3 linked regions of the Oreochromis niloticus genome follow. The protein of the gene in region 3 purifies or fractionates together with the protein of the main gene of each other region. This does not show direct contact. Links are inferred from orthologs where the notes say so. Each region holds a gene or a part of one and is shown on either strand. Other genes may lie near its edges.

Region 1 (8,351 bases), on a different chromosome or scaffold from region 3:
TATTGTTTTGATGGTTTATATACACCATTACTATTGTCCTAGGATGGACGTGCAGAATGTTTAGGTGTCAAAAAGGATACGGACGCTGACAGCCTCAGCATCTGTGCTCAGCAATCTCTTCACTTCCTTTTCCACATCAGGAGATTCAATGTACTGCAAAAGACAGAGAGATCGAGTTACTTGTAGTATTAGCAGCATCTCTCTTGCCGTCCTCCTCAGTCTCTATCTTACCCACACACACACACCAAGGTAGCAGCTGGCCACATGCCAGGAAGTACATTAGCGATTAAAAACAGAAGGGGCCAAATCAATATGGCTCAGCTCTGCACCTTCAGGAAGATTTATTCAGAAGACAAAGTAGAAGTGTAGTGCTCCAGCTCCACTCGCTTTCACTTTGATCAAAGCAATAGTGAAATAGCTTTTTTGCATGCCTTTGGGGAAAACTAAGATGGAAAGGCTTTATTTATATGTAAATCTTAGTTTTCACTTTTACCACAGTTCCTGTTTTATGAAATGTAAATGTCTTGTTGGAAGAGAGCCTAGGAAAAAGATGGATCATCAAACGAGATGCTAAGGAGATGGATGGGACATGGGAGGGGACTGCTGTAGGGAAAATGAAAAATGTCAGAACCTTTTTTTTCGCAGTCTTCCGAAATCTCCTCTTGCGCGTGTTCTTCAGAGGGCAGGTGACTAAAGAGCAAAACAATGGGATTAGTGAAGCCAAAAATCAGTCTATTACCCAAGGAGGGGACATTATGTTTCCTGAACTGCTGATATGCCAAGTTTTCAATATAAACAAGTCAAAAAGCTGCTGTGTGTATATAATTACTTACTGCCGTGATTCCAAACAAATTTCTTGTCCTTGTCTTTATCCTTCTTTTTGGTCTTAGGGTCAGTGCCAGTTGGCTCTTCCAAAGGGGGGTAAAGGTCTCCATCTAGTGTACACACGAGCATCTAACCCGTGGATGGGAAAAATGAATGCAAAATATTATGCTGATTAATCTGCACTGCAACTACACTACAACTGTGGAAAATAAATTTACATAACATGTATCTAAAATCCAAAATGTACTTTTATTTTAAACCAATGAAATAATGGAAAACTGTAAAAATTTATTTCCAGTCTCTTGCTTACCTGGCAGACATCTGCAGTCTTGTAAAACGTCTTCTTATCCACCGTTTTGAGTGACTCAATCATGCAGGGCAGATCAACCAGTTTGCAGGCCAAAGGAACACGGTCTACTCTAACTATGCCATGACGACCATCAGCTACAAATTAGAGGGACAAATAACTGTTAAGGGACATGTGGGTGACATTTCTTTAACTAGTTCCATTAGTATGCTTGTTACATTTAAATAACAAAAAGAATGAAACTGCTATAGAAATATGTACAATGTTCAAAATTCTGGACCCAACTGTAAATAAATAACAAGACAGGGAGACAGTGTGAGACACATTAAACCAGTGCCAAGATTGTGAGCAGCTTACGGTGCAACTCAATGGTGAGTCTGTCCTTCATGTTCATACTGCTAGACTGTGCAATCCTTCTTACTGTTGAGGCATACTCCTGCAAAAGAAAGAAAAATGAAGCCAGATCATATGTATGGTGATAAAACTGAATTTCCATCAAACAATGAATTTCTGCAAGTGCAAACGTCTCACCGAAGGAAGCCTAAGGACAAACTGGCTCTCCAACTCATAAGGGGCATCCTCCTTACTCTTGGAACCGACCTTCCCAACTAAAATCAAAACACATCACCATAATGAAAGCGTTAAAATATGTCTTGCTTGCTATATGATGACAAACTACAAAGTTTGTCATTCTACTTTAACATTAAAATATACAGTACATTAGGTACTCATTTTTTCCTATTTTGAAGTAAGAAGTAATATAGTGTCTAATATATTAATCTCTGGCTCTCTTCCACAGTGTCTTTTTTCACAGTGTCAGATGGATGCCACTCCTGAAGCCTGGTTCTGCTGGAGGTTTCTTCCTGTTAAAAAGGAGTTTTTCCTTTGCCTTTCCCACTGAATGCTTACTCATTGCATTTCGTTTGATTGCTGTGGCTTTCTCTGTATTATATTTTATTATATTATATTATAAATTCAGTTCAACTGAATCATCTGCTAGATGGACTGGTCTGTGGACCATTTAAAGCATTTTTGGTACCTTAGCTGGGCTCTTTGTGCAACTTTAAAATTCTACTACATTATATTTCAGGGGCAAACACTACACTCCACCACATTGTTTGACAGCTTTAATTACTGATCACTTTATAGTCTTTCATGTTCTTCCTGTGGAAAGAAACCTCCAAGTTTGGTGATTTTATATGCAATATTTTACTTTGAGTGTTCTTTGTTTTGCTTTTTTTTTTAAACTTGTGGAAAATTGTCTTTAAAGGTATGAGGTTTTCACTGGGCAGCAACACTAGAAATATATAAACACTAATTAATATCTTAAGTACCTACAACAGTAAAGTTTATTTCAGTGCTGACAAAAAAGGAACTTACAATGTAATAAGCTAAAAATGTAAATAGCCAAACCATTTTTATTTCTCACAGTGCGTATATGCAAACCAACAAATGTTATTGTTAGTTCAATATAACATTTAGTTTATTATATTATACTATGAATGAATAAATGAACGAAAAAATAACCAACGTTCCTACCAAATGTACTATGAATCTCTTTTCAAATTCTATCACGAATGTCTTTACATCAAAAGTAAAACACCGATAATTATTGCTAATAAAGGTTACTTGTGCATTTTACATTAGTGATGTCTACCACACTGTGGACCAGTAACACTATAGGAGATTATACATAATGTTCAAAAGACAGGAACGACAAACGCTAATTTGCGAACACAGTTGTTAAAATATGCCACAGACAACATGTTCTGTTACATCATCACCATTATTGTTACTATCAGCTTCATCTTAATAACCGACAACTAAAAATGTTTCTTTACCTTACAAAAGTGGAGGCTAAGAGGCTAACAGCTAGTTATCTTTAGCATAAGGATAAGGGCAGAGGATTTTAACGTACCTTTCAGTTTAGATGTCATCGTCGTTTTTCAAGTTTAGATGGTGCAGCTGTATAGATATCTTTCAATGGCAAACACGCATAAACATGACAACTCTAAGTAAAAAAAAACGAGACTTCTTAGCTACACGGTGATAGCATAATCACGAGCGAAAACAAGAGTGTTGTATAGGGCTTTGCCACTTTCAATACCTCCTCGGAAATTTGTATTTTCTGTACCTTGGCTGTACAACTCGTATGTCTGAGCATTAAATTACAAATTTAGGCATATTTTAGTTAATAATTAAGTAATTATAATATATATATATGCATATTTTGTACTGCCATGTTATTAAATAAGGACTAACAGTGCAAATTAGTTTGTTTTTCAGTGCATGACAGTAAAATAAAAAATTCCGATAAATCGGAACGTCACACGCAACCATCCGTATCACGAGACTTGTCAAAAGTACTTTTGAAAAACAAAAAATAACGAATATTCTTTATGCAATATAGTTAAATGTATCTATAAATATTTAAAATTATTATTTGATGTTCGTATCGTTATGCTAAATGGTCTGTAGGTAAAAGAAAAGTAGGAAGGAAGTAGGAATGAGGAAATACCACAGGAAATATGCGTCTATTTTTTATTTAAACTTATTCTATTAAGAATTAAACCGTAACCTAAAATAAATGTTAAGTTCGTTATTATATCTGGTTTATTTTTATTTATTTATTTTCAATACAACACAAATCGATAGCCTAAAGGACTGTTGGACTCACTTCCCGGTAAGCACGGCTATCGTCAAATATTTCATAATAAAAGATTTCGGGGAAAACTATCATCGCTAATAAGAAGCAAACTGCCAAGAAAACTGCCAGATAGACATTTTTGTTTATTTAGAAGGTTTATTCTTTTTGCGGCATTAAATTTTTCCACAGGCGTTGATTTTAACCACCCACGGTACGGTGGTGTGCTTTTAATTTGAAACATAAAATTACACTTTCTGGAAAAATTACTTTTCCCTTCCGGGCCGGAATTGGTTTCTCTTTTGCTGTCGTCTTTCTGTTGCCCACTCCCCTCAGTTTATGAATAATATTTGCACAAGTTTATTTTTACCTTCGGCGACGTTGCAGCATTTGGCCGCCGAAAGTCGAAATGGTGTTTAAAGTGACTGTCAGCAGTGCCCGGAGGGCAACAAGGACGCTGTGGCTGCTCGTGCTAGTAAGCCTGCCTGTTTGCATCAGTGTTTGCCGAGCATCATCACCTCAGGAGGACAGTGCCATGGAGAACATCGTTACAGAGAAAAAGGCTGAGGAGAGCCACAGACAAGACAGCGCTGACCTGCTGATCTTTATCCTGCTCCTCACCCTCACCATCCTGACAATATGGTTGTTCAAACATCGGCGGTTCAGGTTTCTCCACGAAACCGGGCTGGCAATGATTTATGGTAAGATGGTCCATCGTGACAGAGAGACGTCATCCGAGCTGTTACACTCATTGTGTCCTAATAGTTAGATTTTAAACAGATGAATGTCAACACCACGCTTGATAAGTTCGCCCCTGTTAATGACATACTTCATTTGGGCGAATTTTAACAGATTTATGCAGCAGGACTGTGCCAGTTTGTGTTGTGATTGAGCAAGCGTAATTTAACGACAGTGAACGCCTCTTTTACACTGCTTAGTCTTAAAAATTACATCTGAGCACCTAAGCAATTTCGACAAATACTGTCTTATGAATCCTACTGAATTTTAGTTCTTAAATAACTTGTTTTTGTTTTGTTTTTGTTTTTGCTTTTTCGTGCAAGTCACAAGTGATTATTTGGACAAGTGCCAATCATGAGTGTGGAACTGGACTTTGCTTCCACTTCTGTATATTGAATTTCAGGAGTATTGTTAGAATTCTTCCAACCCGTAGAAGAGGAAGTGGTCGTGCCATTGTAGAATCATCGTAGAACCATATCTAGCAGATAATTAATAATTTCTGTTTGGCTGTGCAGAGCTTTTAGAGTGTAAACATTCACAAATCACTCACTTTTAGTTTTTATGAAGGCTCCATAGGATGGATAATAACATTATGCTATTATTTTAGCTGTGACATTACTGTCTACTACATGGTTACCAAACCATGCATTACTACCATAGTAACAGATGTTTGATCTGAGCATTTTAAGTCAAGATCAGATCACAAATCAAAATTTGATCAAAATAGCTGGAAAGATGGTTGTCATCCTTCCTCAATTTTCTCTCCATGAGATATTTAAAGACATGTTGTGATGTTTATTTTGTGTGACATATTCCCCTCCGTTGACCAAGACAAATTTCTCCCACTGGAGACAATATGGTCTAATCTAATCTAAACTAATTGAAATTCTAATTTGCTGGTACACTATCTGATAGGGTAATTTATTTTCACATGGATGTGTTAAGACTTTAATTTGAGATCCAAAGCTGTTAGGTACGTCTGTGATGTTCAGACTAGACCTTTGTTTAATTTTTTTTTTCTACAAATTAATTCCACTGAAACATTTTAGACCATCTGTAGTGTCAGGTAGCCTAAAACTGCACTCACCATCCGTTTTTGTGGCAACATGCCATAAACCATTAAAAATCCTGTATTAATCAATTCTTCTCTCTCTACTGTTTTTTTTTTTTTTTTGTCTTTCGTTTTTATTAATTTTTCCCCAGGCTTAATTGTTGGAGTGATTTTGCGTTATGGCATTCATGTTCCTCGGGATGTTAGCAACATCACCTTGAATTGCCAGGTCAATGCCAGCCCTGCCACTCTGCTGGTCAATGTAAGCGGCAAGTTCTACGAGTACACATTGAAAGGGGAGATCAATGCCAATGAAGTGAACGACGTGCAGGACAATGAGATGCTGCGCAAGGTATACTCAGTCGTGATGTCTACATACAAGAAATTGTGTTACAGAGATGGGTAATTATTTTCCTAAGGGACTATGTGAGAAACTGGGACTGTTGTGGAGGACAGTGCCAGTAAATTGAACTCAGTATTAATTTTATCTCTGTATAAGTTATTGGTACAGCCCTCCACAAGAGTCCCAGTTTCTCCTGTATCCCCTTGAGAAGATTAATTCCCCACCCCTGAGCTGGAGCAATCAGATGATTTAATCATCAGCGAAGACATAATTGTCAGTTATTTTACACTGAAATGATAGCAGATGTTTAAATCTGCAAGCACTGATGATCAGACAAAACCAGCTACCCCACATGTTTCCCTTCTGATATTTTAAATACAGCATAACTAACCAATGCAAGAGAGAAATCATAGTCAGGTTAATTTGTAATGGGATTAAATGGTGGTTTTAGTTTTTTGTGAGCTGAATGATTTGTGATTCTCTTTCTGTAATACTAATTATTTATTATCAACATTAAGTAGCTATTTCAAATTTAAAAGAATAGCTGTACATCTAGATCAAATCTGTTTGAAGACTAAACAGGGCATGAAATGCTCTGTTAAAATAACTGGCAGAATGCCTTTATTGGTGATACAGAATGTAAAAGAAACCATAAAAGTAGTTGTTTTACAGTTGTCATGTGCTGGGGTGTGTTTGTCACTTTGTACTTTGTCGGTTAAACAGCTGCACAATTACATACAAGCAGTATTCTTGATGCTATTCTAACCACCAAACAAGTAAACAATCTGCTGAACAAGTTTCATTTTTTTAAGTCATAATCTCACGCTCAGCAATTTAGGATTGTTTTCCAAACATGAATACATCTAATCCATTGTCAGAGATTGAAACCACATACTGATTTGAATGTAGCACTGCTCTAGATTTAGCATCTAAAATTGGCATTAGCCTTAGTATGTGTATATGTATGTGGCTAGAAGCTGTCCTCTTTCTGTGACATACCATGTTACTTTTATAGTAGGTTTTTGTTTATTGTCCTGGAAGCTGTGTCATGATGCCCCAGATGTGTCATTTTTGATTAATTAATATTTCAGTCGATCCATAAATGCAACAGCATAGAAAGAAATATTAATGAAAACAACTTGTTAATTTTCTTTTGATGCAGATCGGCAATTTTGTTCTGTGTTTTGTATAACTCAGGTGACCTTTGACCCTGAAGTGTTCTTCAATATTCTCCTACCGCCTATCATCTTCCATGCTGGCTACAGCTTAAAAAGGGTACAGTATATCATATAAAAAGTCAACATTTATTAAATACATATTTTCAGTATGTGTTTGGCTCTTGATTAAATAACATCATATTTTGACTATGAAATTTTAAAAGTCCATTTGTAGTCTCTTTATAGACCGCAGGGGTTTCATCAAGATGAATAATTTATTTTATAGTAAGTATGCATTTGATTGCTGATCTGGTAACTCTTCTGTCTTTCAGAGACATTTTTTTCGGAACATGGGATCCATCCTGGCTTACGCCTTTCTCGGGACAGTCATTTCCTGTTTTATTATTGGGTAAAAGAATTAATTTGCAATTATTACAAAAAATATTTTATTATTAAAAAGAACCAAAAACATGAAAGCCATTCATCCTTGTGATTTTACAACCCTTGTGCAACTATGTATATACAAAACAGACACTTTATGGCAGAGCAGTGTTTGAATATGTCAGTGTTAAGGTGTCCCTAAATGCCTTTAAAGTTATTGTTGTTTATGATGATGGACAAGACCACCTGCTCTTCCACTTCTGCCATCAGGTTGCTGATGTATGGCTGTGTGACGCTAATGAAGCAGGTGGGCCAGCTGGGTGGAGACTTTTTCTTCACTGATTGCCTGTTTTTTGGGGCCATTGTCTCTGCCACAGACCCAGGTACATATGATTTTTCTCAGATTTAAAAGTTTTCTTTTCTAACTCAAACCAAAAATAATGTATCCTACTTTTTGTTACATATATTAACTAAAGTACTGTGCAAAGGCCTTTCCACAACCACCCTGCATTCATATTTTGTGCCCAAAGAGTCAGATTTTCCAGTAATCTTTTAAAATGTTCTTGACAAATAGTTGTGCTGAAGTTTTTTTTAAAGATTTTTTTAGTTAGTTTTTTTTTTTTTAATTAGAGCTGACTGCTTTTCTTTTACTCATTTTCTTTATACCCAAACATTTTCAGCTGAATGTTTTTATGTTTGTTCAGCACCTTGAGACTGAGCCATGAATAATTAAAGTGAAAAATGTATGTAATCCAAGGAATGAACCGGTTTTGTCTCCACATTACTTAACAAGGAATCCACACACTGTTCTCCAAAGCCTCATAAGCAATGGTAGGGGAACAGAAATAAAAGTTGAGGTATGCCAACTGGACTGAAAATCATTACCAAAAAAGTCTGAATTCAGA
Region 2 (8,584 bases), on a different chromosome or scaffold from region 3:
CTCTCTGGAGACTTAGCTTGAAGAAAATGGGGCTTAAAGCTGAGGATGGAGATTGAGTCCCTCTGGAGAATTGGCAGGTGGCCAGCAATACAGCTGAGCTAACTTAGGTGGGCAGTGGGTCAGATTGGAAACTTGCCCGGCTGATTTTTGCCCCCAGGCATTATGTTTGACACTCCTGCTCTGTACATTAAGCTTAAGCTTAATCTTAATCTTGAGACACATAGGCTTTGGATGCTCAGTACCCACAGGATCAGCATGGAACTACCAAGGAGACACTGACTTCTATAGGCTGGGGCTGCGCAGCACGCACTGGCTACTGTGGCTATGGCTGTGCAAAATGGGCCAGCTGGCACTGTTTCTAAGGAGTTCCCAGGTAGAGCAACAGTCTCTTGGGAAGCTAGCACAGAAAACACAGGGAGCCCGGGGAAAAACAGTAAGTTGGAGAGACCCCAGATAGAGTATACTCTGGAGGGTCATGGTGTTGACCGTTCTGGGCACTGAGGCCTAACCAGAGGCCTTAACCCTTGGAGATGGGACAGGGTTGGGCCTGTTGTCATGGGACCCAGGAGGACAAGCAGGCAGTGCCTGACATCGTAGGTTTTGTAGTGTAGTGATCAATGTCAATCTGGTCAATGTCAATCTGGTCAGGCAGGATGACTCTGGTTGCACAGAGTGGTGGTGACTAGGGTGCTACAGTGATAAGGAGGAAGGGCATTAGCAAGGACCATGCTTCCCTTTTGAAGAGCTAGAGGAAGTGGGCTCTGGAAAACATGTGGCAGCCATTGTAGCAAGTGGCTGATTACCTGGTTGTGCAGCAAGCCTACAACCAGCTAGCAGGAAGGACCAAAGTTAAGGAGGAACTAGGAAGGTGTGGTACACCTTTACTGGTGAGGCCCATGCTCAGGGGTGAGCTATGGCTTCAGATCAATAGTCCCCTTTAAAAAGGAAAGAGCCGCTTGCTGCTGTCCAAAGGCTTTATTTTGTTGGTTGTGGCATTCAGTTATAATCTACATTGAAGACTCAAATGCAGGTAGAAATAATTACAAAAATTAAAAGTAACAATACCCAACTATGGCAACCAAATAGAACATCAAATAACAAGATTCAAGACTAACAGATAAGGGTTAACAGGGTCCCCTCTCTATCCAGGCCTGCCGGAAGGGCTTGTCAATGAGCTAAGGATGAACAAGACACATGAACCAGTCTTAAACATCAGTTGATGAAATTTTTTTATTTATAATATGTTTAGAAACAGTAGTTAACATAGGATGGATCTTTAAATCTCTTAGATGAAAACAAACAAACAAAAAAAAAAAACAGCAGCCTCAGGGAGTAGAAAAGCTCCAGGAAGGTTTGGCTTTGAAACCAAAACCTTCTTCCTGTGAGGCAACTCCTCTAACCACTGCACCATCATGCTGGTGCAATAGACTGTCCAATGAAACTTGTGATAATGCATTGAAGGCTTTCTAAACTAAAGAAGAGTAATTCTCCAAAAGTTGAATCTGTTCATCTGGACGTAGCGTTTTGTGGGAGAAACGTTTCTCCCACAAAACGCTACGTCCAGATGAACAGATTCAACTTTTGGAGATTTACTTTCCTGGATGATTGAGAATGCATCAAGACATAAATAAGAGTAACATTTTCTTTTTCAATCTTACTAAGCATAGATAGTTTCATAATGTTATGCCTTGAAGAAACAGTGTAAAGATGTACTTTTTAAACCTGAAGCCTTTATATGCTTTATACACTTTATGCTTTATATATCACTCAGCTGGTCATCTACTAATTGGAAGGTTGGTGAGTCGATCCCTGGCTGCTCCAATCTCCAGCCTGCATACCTAGATATTCTCGGGCAAGATACTGAACCCAAAGGTGCTCTGTAATTCGTTCATCACAGCATGAATGTGTGTGAATGCTAGCTAGAAAGCACTTAGGTGCAAAAAAAAAAAGTGCTGGAGTGAATGAGGCATGTATAAAGCACTTAGAGTGCTATATAAGGACCAAGCCATTTACCATCTTTTTGTACCTCAAAAAGGTGCACATAATTATGAAAAAGAATAATAAGAAAAAGGGTAAAAACTACTGCATTTATTCCATATTCAGGAAGTAGTTTTTACCTTACCTTTAGGGTCCAGTAATGACTAGTGTGTAGAGATTGCACACACTAAGAAAGAAATGCACTTTTACTACACCTGCGATTTCTCAGAGTGTGGGTAACAGTAAGGCAGATGTTCTGATAGCTGAAATGTTCTTCTGCAATTCCAGAATGTGCCATTTTAAGTTTGTTCAGGTATGTTTCATGAATCAGAATCATAGTCATCTTTGTTTCTTTGCTATGTGGCCATGCAAAGAAAAAAAAGTTCTTTTAAAATATGCAGTATACATATATGATAGGTAAAAAGTAAGAAAAAGCAAGATACGGAATGTAGTCAGTATGTTCAGCTATTAAAAATAGTTTAGTTTGAGATCTGTGGTTTGCCTATTTGCTAAAAACCCCCCCAAAGCAAAACGACAACAACAAAAATCTCATGAATATTCTCTAAGTGTGGTCATTTGATCATTTTTCATATTACTGCAAAACTAGTGGCATCACCATCTGTTAATGTTAGCTAGATTACACATTTAATTACCTACATTTTCTTTGGGATTAAAAGATTATAATATTGCACGTTTGTTAAGAAGCAAAACAGCAGGCACTACAGTACGTTAAAGTACCAAGTCTTAGCGGCAATTTGAGTACACTTACATTAGTGCACGAAAACTTGATTAGATCTTGTTTAATATTCTGTAGAAAAGTCAAAGTCCAAAATTTTCCTCCAATTACATTCAGTTGTTATCAAGTATAAACAAATTGTTCATTAGCCCGATCAGGTCACAGGGTCACCAAATTCACTGGTCCTATTTTAGATGTAGCTTCCAAACCATCCTGTTCCACAATAAAACCGTCAACACATTTTAAAGGACACACTTGCATTGTGTCCTTTAAGAAGAATTCTCTCCAGTTTCCTTACATACCGATCACAAAGCTCAAGAAAGCTCCCTAAAACTTTTCAGATATTGCTCATAACTCCTTGTGTTTGTTCTTTTGAGTAGAAGGTGTGGCATCATTTGTCTAATCCAGAGTGTAACATTCAGTCTTTGTGCATTTAGTCATTTTATTGTGGTTAGATTCTGCAAGACTTACATAGATGTTCGCATTTACCAGTTACAGTGTGTTAATCTGAGGTGTGAATTCACTGTTTCAGTTGCAACACAATTTCCAGTCTTCTGCTGCAATGTCCGTTTCTAAATCTTTGCTCCAAGTATTTAGATTTTATTCTGACATGATGTCTTTTCTCAAACACTCCTTTGTAAAATAGTACATTTTCATAGGACTCTGTGAAAAACTAAGTGCGTCTCATGATTCAGCAACTTGTAAAACCACCTTTAGCAGCAATAACGTGAAATGCACACTTTCTGTATGACTTTGTCAGTTTCTCACATTGTTACAGAATAATTTTGGCTCACTCTTCTCTCACTTGCTCTCTTAAGGTGCAACATTTCAGGCTGAAGTCTGGCCTTTGACTTGTTCACTCCAATACTCTGATACTTGTTGTAGATTTGCTGGAGTGCTTGGGATCATTGTAATGTTACATGACTCGATTTGAGCCAAGCCAAGCTAGCTGTCGCACAGATGGCCTCATGTTTGACTCTAGAATACTTTGGTACATTGAGGAGTTCATGGTTGAGGTGCCCAGGTCCTGGTGGGTACAAAACAAGCCTAAATCATCACCCCACATTTGACAGCTGGTGTGAGGTGTTTGTGCTGATATGCTGAGATTCATTTTGGTCAAATGTGGTTCTGTGCATTATGACCAAATATCTCCACTTTGGTCTTGTCTGTTCAAAAGACATTGTCCCAGGTCTGTGATTTGGTCAGATGCAACTTTGCAAACCTAAGCCTTGCTTCTATGTTACTTTTAGAGAGTAGGCAACCCTTCCAAAGAAGCCATACACAGTCATCTTCAGGCTTTTTCTAATTGTACTGCGACAAACTTTATAGTTTAGCATGCTACATGCTAAATTATAGCATGCTGGAGGCTGAGATGTAGCTCTTAGGATTTTTTGCAGTTTCTCTTTTTTTGCTGGGACATCCACTTCCGAGAAGACTCTAGCATGGTGTTAATACTCACCTGAATGATCCAGACTAGCGAACTACCAAAACCTCATCTTACGGATGATCAATTAATCAAGTAGCAAACCTGACTGCTACTTATCCTGTTCATTTCTGTATTAGCAATAGCGGTATACTTAGTTTTTCACAGGACTGCATACAGTCCTAAGCAAATTTTATTTTCTTTAACATGACTTTGCTTTAATGTGGTTTAACAAAACTTCTCAGCTGTCAAAATTATAAGTAAATACAAGTGAATTAATATAATTTTTAATTTTAAATATTTCCAAGCCTCCCAAAACTTAAATCTATCATCAGTGTCAGAGCAGCTGTACCTGTGACTGCCAAAATATCTTGTTCATCAAGACATCCCTAACTGAATACATTTGATGAACACAGTGTCTAGATTAAGAAACAAAACATTATATATTTGGTTTCGTTTGTGTGTTTATTATGATTGAAGTAAATGTGTGTCACCCTCTTCTTCCTCCATACTTCCTTTTGGGAACCACACTTGTGAATATCATCACTTCAGCAGCTACTGCCAAATCACATTCAAATGGTTCAAAATTCAATTCCTCTGAGTTTTATTTTTCTTATTGATTTAGTTTAGCAGTGGTTCCTTTTGGGGCAGTCACCACGAGGAATGATTCTTCAGGGGCTTCTCCAAAAAGCTGATGATGAGATGTTTCAGCTCTGAGAAGCACAGATGGATCCTCTATTCTAAGGTGCTTTCTCTTTAGTTAGTTAAGCAGTTCTTGCAAAAATATGACTAAGTACAGTAGCCAAAAAATACTTTTTGCTGTCTATCAGCACTACTTAGGAGCAACACAACTCAAAGTCAAGAAATTTCACCAGTCAACCTTTAAGCTGTTATGTCCCACCAATACTGACTCAACACAAAATCAAGGCTGACACCAGATTTTTTCAGAAACACATGGTTTTTTGGTTGTTTTGGTTTTAAATCATTATACATTCAAAGGTGAAACTTGCAAGCAGGAGAGTATTACAGCATCCAGCGTGAAGTCTGCCTTCATCCACACCTTGTCAGGTGATGCAGATAACTAGCAATTAAGCCCGGGCAACGCCCAAAGTCTACTACACTGCCACTGCAAAGCCAGTAGGGTTGCAAGGGAGCATAACAAATCTCACATGTTACGAGAAAAAAAAAAATGACTGCCTCATAGAGGTATTGCCATTTGTTGTCAGCGCTGAACCCAGCAGCGGTTGCTTTAAATATTCTAAATTACAAAACATATTTTACTTAATCTGAAGTTTGTATATTTCGCCTCATCACTGGTTATGTTTATTTATTTTTCCACACTGTGCAAAATCTTAAGATTAACTATTGAATAGCAAGGTGTCCGCAAACTTCTTTTTCATAGACCGATTTCTTGCAGACCACTAAAACATCTACTCTACTGCCATTACTCCAATTAGTAACATTTTATTTTAACGATTATCGAGTGAAACCAGCGTACAAACACCCGAATGCCTCTAAAATGACTTATTTGTGACCAGGATAGCGACTTTTTTCCAATTTTCGTGAAAACATCAACTCCCAGAATTCCTTGCCCACGCGTAAGTAAATGACGCTAAAATGTGAGCGACCACATTACAGTACCGGGCAACTATGAAGCTACATTAAAATTTGATACCCAAATCAGTTTGTACACCTAAGAGACATTTTACTGAGTGCCAGCATTCACTTACCTCCCGTAAGTACACATTTGAAGTCATGACGAGCAAAGTGCAGCTTCATAACTGCACACATGTACTTTTAGCATTGTTATCATTTAGCTTTGGTGTACAGTAGTTACACTGTATACGTTTTGACTCAACTTATGAAGCAGTCACCTGTAACCTTGCTTTAACGGCGATATTAGAAATAATAATAACATTGATGAAAGGACCGCCTTTTCAAGACAAACTTCTGTTTGTCATGTTTCACTGTCTTGTGTTTGTTAAACATTATGTCGACATTACAGATAAAATAAAATGCGAAGCTTCCTGTTATTTTAATGTAGGTTTTTCAATGCAGAAAATGCCCTAATCAGGCAAATAGAGCCAAGACACACTCTCCGGCCACTTTGTTAGGTACACCTTGCTAGTAGTGTGTTGGACCCTCTTTTGCCTTCAGAAGTGCCTTTATTCTTCATAACGCTGGAAACATTTATCAGAGATTTTGGTCCATATTGACATGATGGCGCCACACAGTTACTGCAGGTTTGTGACTACGGAGGCCATTTGAGTACAGTCATGTTCAAGAAACCAATTTAAGATGATTTGAGCTTTGTGACATGGTGTGTTATCCTGCTGGAAGCAGTGATCAGAAGATGTGTACACTGTTTTCAGTGAGGTGGAAATGGTCAGCAGCAATATTTAGGTAGGTTGTGCCATCTTAGCGATGCTCAGCATAGTTTGGTTGCAACGAGTTGTGCTTTTCTGTCAGGTTATAGCACTCTGGGAATTTTTCTTTGACCTCTGGGATCAGAGAGGAATTTTTACCTAGAGAACTGCTGCTCACTGGATATTTTGTCTTGTTTGGACCGTTCTCTGTAAACCCTAGAGATGGTTGTGTGTGAAAATTAGAAAACCAACTTCTGGTTGGAAGATACAGTTATTTCTTTTCTTTGCACAGCTCAGAGAACAAAACAGCACAACTGAGAAGAAGAAAGGATCCATGAAAGGTGGTCATGGTGTAAGCTCCGAGGATGCCTTACCACTGTGTGGCTTATGGATGTGGAAAAACTACTGAAGATGGTGTAACCCTGTTTAAATTCCCCAAGGACCCTGAAGAGTTTCGGAAATGGGAGAAGCAGGTCCAGCGCACCCGCATGCAGTGGGTTGCCACACCCAATTCTTACCTTTGCAATGAACATTTTGGCAAGGAGTACTTTGAACCCAGACTGGCATCGGGGCCTCTGAAGCTGAGGCCAGGAGCTGCTCCTACAGTGTTTGTCCGTCCGCACTGTCCTTCCTGCAATGGCGCGGGCTGCAGTAGCTGCCTGCCTTCTATCCAACACAGGACCATTACAGCTGAACCAAGCGAGCAAAGCATAAGTGTGAGTAGCACTTATTTTGGATCGTGGGTTGGGGGGTATTACACCTGCTGTTTACAGGTGGGATGTTTGTTTATTTCCTTCATAGGCTGGATACAATGAAATGGCACCCCTAGAGTGTGAAGATACTAATGAAAGAGGTAAAGAACGACATCTGACAGGAGGAGGGTTAAAGGCACTAAACGAGCGACCAGGTGAGGTGCACCTGCACTCTTAACAATGTTCATAATGTTTTACATTAAGAAAAAACTTTTTTGATTGCATTTTTTTCCACAGTGGTTTGTGAGATGTGTGGAACAACCGGGAATATCAACAACTTCTATTCAAAGACTAAGCGCTTCTGCAGTACATCCTGCTCTCGTTCCTATTCATCAAACTCTAAGAAGTCATCCATTCTAGCACGTCTGCAGGTGAGAAAGAGTTTGACTTTTTTAATATATTTATTTATGTATTTTTGAACACTGGGGAGCACCAGAGGAGCAGTTTGAATTAGCTGCCTTGCTTTATTCAATATTCCATCTGGGGAGTTTGACACAGTCAGTGTCACTGGATTGGGCAAAGAGATGTACTAGTTTTTCCATTCGTGAGTGTGTCGCTCAGCAGCTCAGACAGGTGTGGAATTGCTTTAATTTGTTTCAAAAACCATAGAATTATCTAAAATCCTGTAGTAAATGCATGAACGGCTTCAGCAGGCTTCTGTCTTGGACTTTGATTGCCACCAGCATGCTACTTTCATTGTCCAACAAATGTCACAAATCTTTGACTTATTGAAAATAACTAAAATCAATCGCAGAAAATTCACTCATTTTAAAAGCTGAAACTATGAAATGTTTATTTTTTTTACTGGGATTTTGGCTCTGTGTCTATCGTGGGGGAAATAGTTATCTGATCCCCTGCTGAATTTGTGAGTTTGTTCACTTCCAAAGAAATGAATGGTCACACCATCCCTGCAGTCAAGCATTGAAGTGGATTCGTTGTGCTCTGGGGCTGTTTTTCTGCAAGGAATACAGGGCAACTTCACCGCATTGAGTCAGCAATGGATGGGAGCATGTACCGTAAGCTCTTGAATGTGAACCTTCAGTCATACAGAACACTGAAAATAGGTTTTCCAGCATGACTGTGACCCAAAACCAGGGCAACAAAGGAGTGGTTAAAGAAGAAGCACATTAAGGCCATGGAGTTGCCTAGCAAGTCTTCAGACCTCAGTCCTGTAGGGAATCTGTGGAGGGAGCTGAAGCTTAGAATTACCAAGCAGCATCCAAGAAACCTAAAGGATTGAGAGAGTTTCTATAAGGAGGAGTGGTCCAACGTCTCTCCTGGGATGTGTGTAAGCCTGATGACCAACTACAAGAAACATCTTACCACTGTA
Region 3 (8,059 bases):
ATTGTTTGCATTTTTAGATTCAGCACTAAATTGGGTAAACAAATTAGTTTCACTTCATACACATTCTTGCTGATGTATTAAAATTTAGGATCAAGGACATGTCGGCAGGTTTGAGTCATTTCTTACTGAAGTATGGCTAAAACTAGGATAAGATGCAAGACAGAGTTACACTGCATTCCATTATCTCTATACTCACTGTGGTATGTGGGTTGTGCGTGAGAATTAGGAACAAAAATAAAAGGGAGGAAAAACAAAAAAATATCTTAGACAACATTAATATTAACAGTGAGAGAATAACAAAACGAAAAGAAGATCTAGTAGTTTCAGAAAAGAAGAACAGACAGAGCCAGCAGCACAAAGCAAGTTAGCGTATCTGAAAACTACAAAAAATATATCTATATATACCTAGGGGAAAAAACTGCTGGCAGCTACCAGTAAATGTATATTTAACAACAATGGCTAAATAGATCATATAACAGTATGATCATGCCCAGTTAACATCACTTTTGCATAAAGAACGGGGACATTGTGGAATTAAAAAATAAAAAATATTTTCATTATGAGCAAAACTATGACTTACTTGTGCAACTAACTGAAGAAAAGCCCTGCAATCCTGAGGCTGAAGTCATTTTTGTACCATGACTTGTGAAAAACCCATAAAAATGACTTGATGCACTGTAACCCTGTCAGCTGAACATGTGCAAACTACTCACTGGCAGTCCAAGAGCAACTGCATCGACAGGCTGGTAAAAAGGCCAGGCGAACTGGTGCCGCCACAGGGATTTGATCACTATGTTCTGCATATACTGCAGCTGGTTGGTCCTCCGGCCTGGCTTGTTGGGATTGGTCACCTCGGGAGGTGGGGGATTAACAAGCTGAGGAGGGTCCTGGTTGGTGTCTGCGGACATGGTGGCTGCACGAATTCTTCTGGGTTCTGTTATCTTCTGTAAGTCATGTAGTGTTCACCTGACAGCTTGTCACACACTGTGAAAACTATGCATGACGCAGGCTGGGGAATCGTCAAACCACACAATGTGGCCTGCTGACATAAAAGAATAGACTGTTATGATCATGTGGTTCTCCAAATATCAAATATAAAACTCTAAAAAGAGGAAGCGACTGATTACTTCACACCATTGATATAGTTTCAAAAACAGACTATATCTCATATCTTTTGAAGCTTATCACATTCATTTTATTATTATGTAAAACAATCTGATTAGTAATTAATGCACATGACTGTATAAAGGCTCTTTTCCTTGCATGCTGAAAGGAGGCAGTTGAGGCATTTCAGGCATCTAGTTAGAAAGGCTCCTGGGCATACCTAACTGGGAGGAGACCCTGGGGTAGACCCAGAACCTGCTGGAGAGATTATACATCTCATCTGACCTGGGAATGCCTTGGGACCCCCATGGGGAACTGGAAAGAGTGGCTGGGGAGAAGGATGTCTGAATACTGCAACCCGGCTTCAGATAAGCAGAAGACACGGAGGGTGTATAAAGGTTTAGTGGGCATGTGAACTGAGCAATGTTTTCTTGGCAAATACACTGACAAAATTTAAGAGGCTGTTTCACTGATGGTGTTGGAATCAGCTATGTTTATTTAGCTGTCTAGCAATCTGCCTGCAATTATTCTAATTTTAATATTTAGAGAAGGTGGAGAGATGGAGGTATGCATCGGATAGAAGAGGAATCAAAGTTAGTACAAGGATGCATGTGACAGTGAGGGTCAACCATTAAAAGCAAAGGACAGTGCACGAGAGAGGTGAAGAAGAAAGTGAAGATGGGGGAAGTGAGTGGAGACGAGTGTCACGGGTGATTTGTGACAGGAGGATAGCAGCAAAAGTGAAAGCGAAGGTTTAGAGGATGGGAGTGAGACGGGATATGAAGTATGGTTTGGAGCACTAACAAAAAGGCGGGAGGTCGAGCTGGAGGCGTTAAAGGTGAAGATCTAAGATTGTCATTAGGACTGACTAGAATGGACAAGATTAAAAATGAGTACATGAAAGGGTCAGCTTAGACTGAGGTTGCTACAAAGGATGATAAAGATGGAGCTGCTAGGTATGAAGAAAAGAGAAAGACAAAGGAAGAGATTCTTAGATGTAGTGAAGGAGAACATGGAGAGTGTTAGTGTGACAGAGGAGGGTGCTACGGATAGGGTGAAATGAAGGGAGATGACCCATTGTGGGGCCCCCTAAAGGGAGCAGCAGAAAGGAGCAGGTGATTTCGATTTTTTCTTATTTCAATTTTATTTGCAGTTCTAATGCATTTCAATTAATTTTGAGAGAGGCTTTGTTCATTTCAGTTTAGTTTTTAAATAGCTTACAAAACTTTATTTTTCAAATATTATTATATTTTGTTGGCCTAAGTTAACACATTATATTTCAAGACATATTATTGTGAACGCATCCTTTTCTCAATAAATAAAACCAAACTGGGGAAGACTAAATACATTTCATGTATTTAACTTCAAGTTTTAGTGAGGTGATATTACTTTTTATCCATTTTAACATTTAAATCTATTTTTCCTTTATTCCAGATCAAATGTTTCTTTAAATCTAATTTTATTTCGTTTGCTCATTTTACTAAACATCGCCACTGGAGAAGGCAGTAAGAGTTTGCATGATCTCAGACGCGGTATAAATCTCAACCCTAGCTCATGTAATATCATACCATTAAATACAAGTCAACTAATATAATGCTAACTTAACGGAGTAAGAAGGAAGAATTGGATTGTCAAGTTTTAAATGAGCACGACAGAGTTAAATAATCAGGAGGCCAGCTCTTGGGAAACCTAACCAGTCACGTTCAGCACGTTAGCTTCACTTGGCTAGCAGGTTAAGGTAAACCTATATGGGCGCATGGCCAATATAAGTCTTCACTGCAAATGAGCAATAAAAAACCCACCACAGTATCTTGTGCAGTGCCTACTGGGGTTTGTTTATTACAGTTGGGCCTTGCTCTGCCGCGGTTAACTTACCACTTACAAAGTTTTTATAGGGACGCCAGTCGCTGTTACCTGAACGCTCGCAATTACCTTCAGATAACGGCAACACATACATGTACCACATAACTTGTTTCGCAGAGGATGACGGGAGAGTCACGAGTGTTTACCAACACGTTTTTTCTTCTTATGAAGGTACTTTGAAATGATAGTTTCTATTTAAGACCGTTCACACCGCACCGAAGGCCAAACAGAGTAAAAAGTCGAGATACGGTAACTCCTGGCTGCGCTTAGACCAGCTGAAAACTTCCACACAAACCTGCTGCGGGCATGGCTTCAAGTAACAAGCTCCCCTTCGTCGAAGGCTTCTGTGACCAATTTTTTAGCCAAAGTTAACAGCGTATACCGCCGCCTGCTGTGTCGGAGGGTGTCGAGAATAAACCCAAAATGACCGAAAGTGTAATGATCCCAAGAGAGAAGAGCATTGATTTTCTTCTTCTTCTTCTTCTTCTTCCGGCTGCTCCCTTTAGGTGTCGCCACAGTGGATCATCAGCCTCCACCTAACCCTGCGTCTAGCTTCCTCCTCTGCCACACCAACCCTGCATGTCCTCCTTCACTACATCCATTAGCCTCTTCTGAGGTCTTCGTCTTTTCCTCCAGCTTGGCAACTCCATCTCCAACATCCTTTGTCCAGTATATCCACTACCCCTTCTCTACACACTGTTCAACTGTCTTCAAGCTGATCAACCTTGCTCTCAGGTACTCATTTCTAATCTTGTTCATTCTGGTAATTCACAATGAAAATCTCAGCATCTTCACATCTGCCATATCCGGCTCAACCTCCTGTCTTCTTATGAGCGCCGCCATCTCCAAACCATACATCATAGCAGGTCTCATTATGATCTTCTAAACCTTCCCTTTGACTTGTGCTGCTATCCTGATCCCACCATTGCCTGCACACTCCTCTTCACTTGTGCACTGATTTAAACTACCATTTAAACTCATCCACCTTCACTACCTTTATTCTTTGGATTTTCAATGTTACATGTGTTTCCTTCTCATTCACACATATTTAATATGTCTTGCTTCAAACGGACTTAAATGCTCATACAAATTTCCCACGTGTGGGACTAATAAAGGTTATCTTATCTTATCTTATCTTATACCTACACCTTTCCGGACTCTTTTCCACCTGCTCTATACTCTCTCTACAGCATAGTCCACAGAGATTCCCGCCTGATCTCATCAGTCAACCTGTCCATTACCACTGCAAATAAGAAGTGGTTTTGGAGCCAATCCCTGATATAATCCCACCCCTCCTTCAAATCCATCTGTCACTCCTATTGCACACCACACCACTGTCTTGTTGTCCTCCTAGATGTCCTCCACCACCTTAACATATTTCTTTGCCACATTTCATCTCTTGTACCCAATCATATGCCCCATATTCTCTAGAAACAATGGAACTCCTCCTGACCTTCTCTAAACGTCTTTATCAACAGTTGTTTAATACTGTTTTATAAAAATGGAAGATATAATAATGAATGACATGCAAAACTCTCTGTTTAATGGATTGTGGCAGTATGCGCGTAAACACGTTGGTTTGCGTCCCGTCGTGAAAACCAAAGAAGAAGAAGAGCGTAACACGCATGCGCAAAGCCACAGCACACCACATTCCCCGCTTCTCTTTCCCTACAGGCAATCATCCAAGAGCAAGTCACTTGCTGTATACGTTCTCCATGATCGTCTGAATACACATACATGGTGTTTTTTTACCCTTTCGTGTGTTTACGAGGAGTAACAATCTGACCGTGAAGCTCCATTAATCTGTGAGTATCGTCTTTATGACTGAATCCTCATTGTGTGAATGGAGGGCCCCTCCATGGCACCTCAGCCAGTTTGTCAACAGCACCAGTGCATTTCGAGCAGCGGCGGCTGCATCATCAAATACCCTTTAGCGTTTATATAAAACCACCAGTTTTAACGTGGCGTTATGATTGACGGTTAAACATCTGAATAGTGATATAACAGCGTAGCTAGCTGTCGTTCAAATACGATCATAGTCAAGAGTTGAATTTTTCCAGCCAAGGGAGTCCGTATCGCCCTTTGTTTGATATTCTCTTTTCTCGCACGTTTGTTCCATTTAAACGCGAATTCATGTTAATATATTGCAAACAGATGCCATCTAGTCTTAGCTGAATGCATATGCGTTTCTGTTTGGTGGTTTTAAGTAGCCACAACGAAGTAATGCAACGCTAGCTAGCTTAAGCTAGCTTAAATGGCTAAACTTGGAGCTAAATGAGAAAGCAGCAACACGAACAAGAAAAAATAGCTGCAGCCGGTACCAACTGGGTTAAATGCGGCGTTTAGCAAAAACTGCAGCTCATATGAGGGACATAAAACTAAAAGGAAACATCGTGAGCTAAACTGCTGTTAATGTAAAGTTAATGTACCAAGGTGGTTTCGTATATACTTTGTGCATTTTTGGCGTTATGCAATATATATCATTGTTGTCATGTGAGATGGAGAAAGAGGTTTGCCCTTTCATTGGATTTTAATACCACTATCAGACTAAATGTCGACTATATTCAGTCTAAAATTCGTTTCAACTTGACTGTCAAGGAATGTTGCAGTTAATGCAGGGATATATATATATCTATATCTATATATATATATGTGTGTATGTATGTATGTATGTATTTATAGGTCTACATTGACTAACTTTAATATCAGGATTTTAGAGACTAGAAAAAAATTGCATAGTCATCGTGTAAATAAATAAATAAACACAAACTAGAAAATTTCTGAAGAAATTTTGAGTGTGCCAGTGTATCTGCTGCTTGAAAACCTATCAGAAACTAAGAATAGCTTTTTCGAAGATGTAAGATTTATTGGGTGCATAAAATAGTTGATTTGAAAAAAGTTCAATGAAAAAACAGCTAGAAACATGTGTTGAATGGTCATTTTAATAGCGAACGAATTGTATTGTATAATGTGTCTTATTTTATTTTAGGCATAAACATTGACAGGCATTTACACAGTAGTAGTTATAAATCAAGTTAATGACGCAGTAGTGAAGTTTATAAATACAATCTTTTCTTTTATCACTTCAAAAAGTGGCTTTAGTATTTTTGAGTTTTTGTTTTGAAAGGGAAGTTTAATTTGGCTAAACTTATTTTAAACTAGTTGTTTGTCAGTCACCAAGTGTCTGAGCGTGAAAGAGACAGTTTGAAAAATGTAATCATATTATCCAGGCTGTCAGTGATATTGTTCATGCAAACCTCTTGAAAGGTTACTGAGGCTCGCTGTTATATGTGTTCATTGGTATTTATAACTGATATACTGATCATCACCAGTGGCATAAAGAATGTCTTCTTGTATTTATTTCAATATTTATTTTTTCCTCTGCTTTAGGATAGTACACAGTAAATGCTAATTTCCTCACCATGGCAACTGAAGACAAGAAACCAGAGACTGACACAAAACCTCCAGTAGCGCCGTCAGCATCTGCCAGCCAAAGCAAGGTTTGAATTTTTGGAGTATCACTATTCTGTTCCAGCTGTAGCCTTTTAGGGCCAAGAAATAGCCATAGTTGGGATTCATAAGAGAATGTATTTTGTTTAATATAGACTTAGATGAATGTTAGTGTATTTGTCACATCTCAGCCAAGAGTTGTTAAATGTCGTATTTCTTTTTCACTTACAGTCGGCACCTGCAAAGCCAAACTACAGCCTGAAGTTCACATTAGCGGGCCACACCAAAGCTGTGTCCTCTGTCAAATTCAGTCCGAGTGGAGAATGGCTCGCCAGCTCATGTGAGTAAAAATCACTGCTGGAAATACCAATTTTTTTTCACAACTTAATAATTATCAATAAATTATTGCAGCTTCTTGTTGAGTTTTAAGATTGATGATGTGTTTTGTTTTGTTTTTTTACCTATGCTGAGTGCGTATTCATTCTGTCTCTACAGCTGCTGATAAACTGATCAAAATCTGGGGCGCGTATGACGGCAAGTTTGAGAAAACCATATCTGGACACAAACTTGTGAGTTTGACTAATTCTCAGCTATACTCCTGCCGTGTTAATGGTTTTGTTTTTTATTGGCTGGACTTACGTAGAGCAACTGTAGCATCCTTGATGTTTAGTCAATTGGGATCAGATGTTTGGAGTCGTTACTAAGAGCCAAGCCATGGTTCCATTAGTTCTTACATTGGCCCCATGCTAGCTGTTCTCAGAGCTTCAAGTCCTGATCAGTTCCCATGAATCTGCAGGGTATATCTGATGTGGCCTGGTCCTCTGACTCCAACCTCCTGGTATCTGCATCAGATGACAAAACCCTGAAGATTTGGGACGTTAGCTCGGTAAGATGGGAGATTATTTAAATGATTCTGCTGAAATGTGTGATATAATACTGAACTCTGTTTGCTGCGCATACATTTTAGCAAGCTGCACAGGTATATTACCATCATAGAATATTTGACCAACAGTTTTGGTTATTTTTATTTTAGTTATCCAGGAGTAGGGAGTCTAGTGATGTTATCTGGCATGGGATCTTCTTTCTAGAAGAATTATAAAGATAAATAAGAAAAAGCATGATTGGCTGTGGCACATTTATGAGCATGATTTTGGATGAGTGATTGGCAGGTATCAGCGTGGCGATTGAAGAGTAGTGGCACTAACTACAACTATTAGGTTAGTTCATGTAAGTAATTGATTGTCATTTTTTTATATAAATGAAATGTGCACAGCACAAAAGAGTTGGAACATCTAAAAAACATTATTAAGGAAAAATATACAGTCCTATGAAAAACTCTTGAGCCATCCCATATTTGGAGCGAGACTTTCTTGTAATTTTTAAAAAGGTCTTGTGTTTTTAGGCTTTCTGAAGGTCATTCAAAATTTTCTTTGGGCATTTTCAGTCCAGGCCTTGTTCCTGACCATTTTCAGAAGAATGTTTTTTGCTTTTGTAAAGCCACATAACTCAAAGGGATGAACCTTTTTTTTTTCTTATCTTATATTTAACAGACAACTTTGGAAAAGAACCAGTTTTAAATTTTTATCTCTATTTATTTATTTTTTACTAAGAGCCTGTCACGAAAGCTGCTAATATGTGCCCA

The links. The genes of interacting proteins can lie anywhere in the genome.
Region 1: the proteins of wdr5 (region 3) and taf7 purify together in Homo sapiens (affinity purification with western blotting; 3 studies listed by BioGRID and IntAct, with this or other methods). This does not show direct contact. The link is inferred for Oreochromis niloticus from reciprocal best matches to the Homo sapiens genes WDR5 and TAF7.
Region 2: the proteins of wdr5 (region 3) and l3mbtl2 purify together in Homo sapiens (affinity purification with mass spectrometry; 4 studies listed by BioGRID and IntAct, counting the BioPlex papers as one, with this or other methods). This does not show direct contact. The link is inferred for Oreochromis niloticus from reciprocal best matches to the Homo sapiens genes WDR5 and L3MBTL2.

The regions. Positions count from the first base shown.
Region 1 is NC_031966.2:19,243,381-19,251,731, forward strand, and holds the start of taf7 (transcription initiation factor TFIID subunit 7), read right to left. Parts: upstream 3,241-8,351; 5' UTR 3,070-3,240; coding exon 3,051-3,069; intron 1,741-3,050; coding exon 1,664-1,740; intron 1,569-1,663; coding exon 1,490-1,568; intron 1,270-1,489; coding exon 1,136-1,269; intron 955-1,135; coding exon 834-954; intron 691-833; coding exon 632-690; intron 154-631; coding exon 81-153; intron 1-80. Other genes in the region: slc9a6a (sodium/hydrogen exchanger 6a), read left to right, coding at 4,186-4,477, 5,718-5,917, 7,106-7,183, 7,398-7,474, 7,717-7,829. UniProt on the Homo sapiens protein: The TFIID basal transcription factor complex plays a major role in the initiation of RNA polymerase II (Pol II)-dependent transcription.
Region 2 is NC_031973.2:22,452,337-22,460,920, forward strand, and holds the start of l3mbtl2 (lethal(3)malignant brain tumor-like protein 2), read left to right. Parts: upstream 1-5,344; 5' UTR 5,345-5,734; intron 5,735-5,740; exon of another isoform or gene 5,741-5,871; intron 5,872-6,794; 5' UTR 6,795-6,867; coding exon 6,868-7,218; intron 7,219-7,303; coding exon 7,304-7,409; intron 7,410-7,491; coding exon 7,492-7,625; intron 7,626-8,584. UniProt on the Homo sapiens protein: Putative Polycomb group (PcG) protein. PcG proteins maintain the transcriptionally repressive state of genes, probably via a modification of chromatin, rendering it heritably changed in its expressibility.
Region 3 is NC_031972.2:29,230,762-29,238,820, reverse strand, and holds the start of wdr5 (WD repeat-containing protein 5), read left to right. Parts: upstream 1-4,583; 5' UTR 4,584-4,772; intron 4,773-6,357; 5' UTR 6,358-6,389; coding exon 6,390-6,467; intron 6,468-6,648; coding exon 6,649-6,757; intron 6,758-6,912; coding exon 6,913-6,986; intron 6,987-7,213; coding exon 7,214-7,303; intron 7,304-8,059. Other genes in the region: bromodomain-containing protein 3, read right to left, coding at 714-908.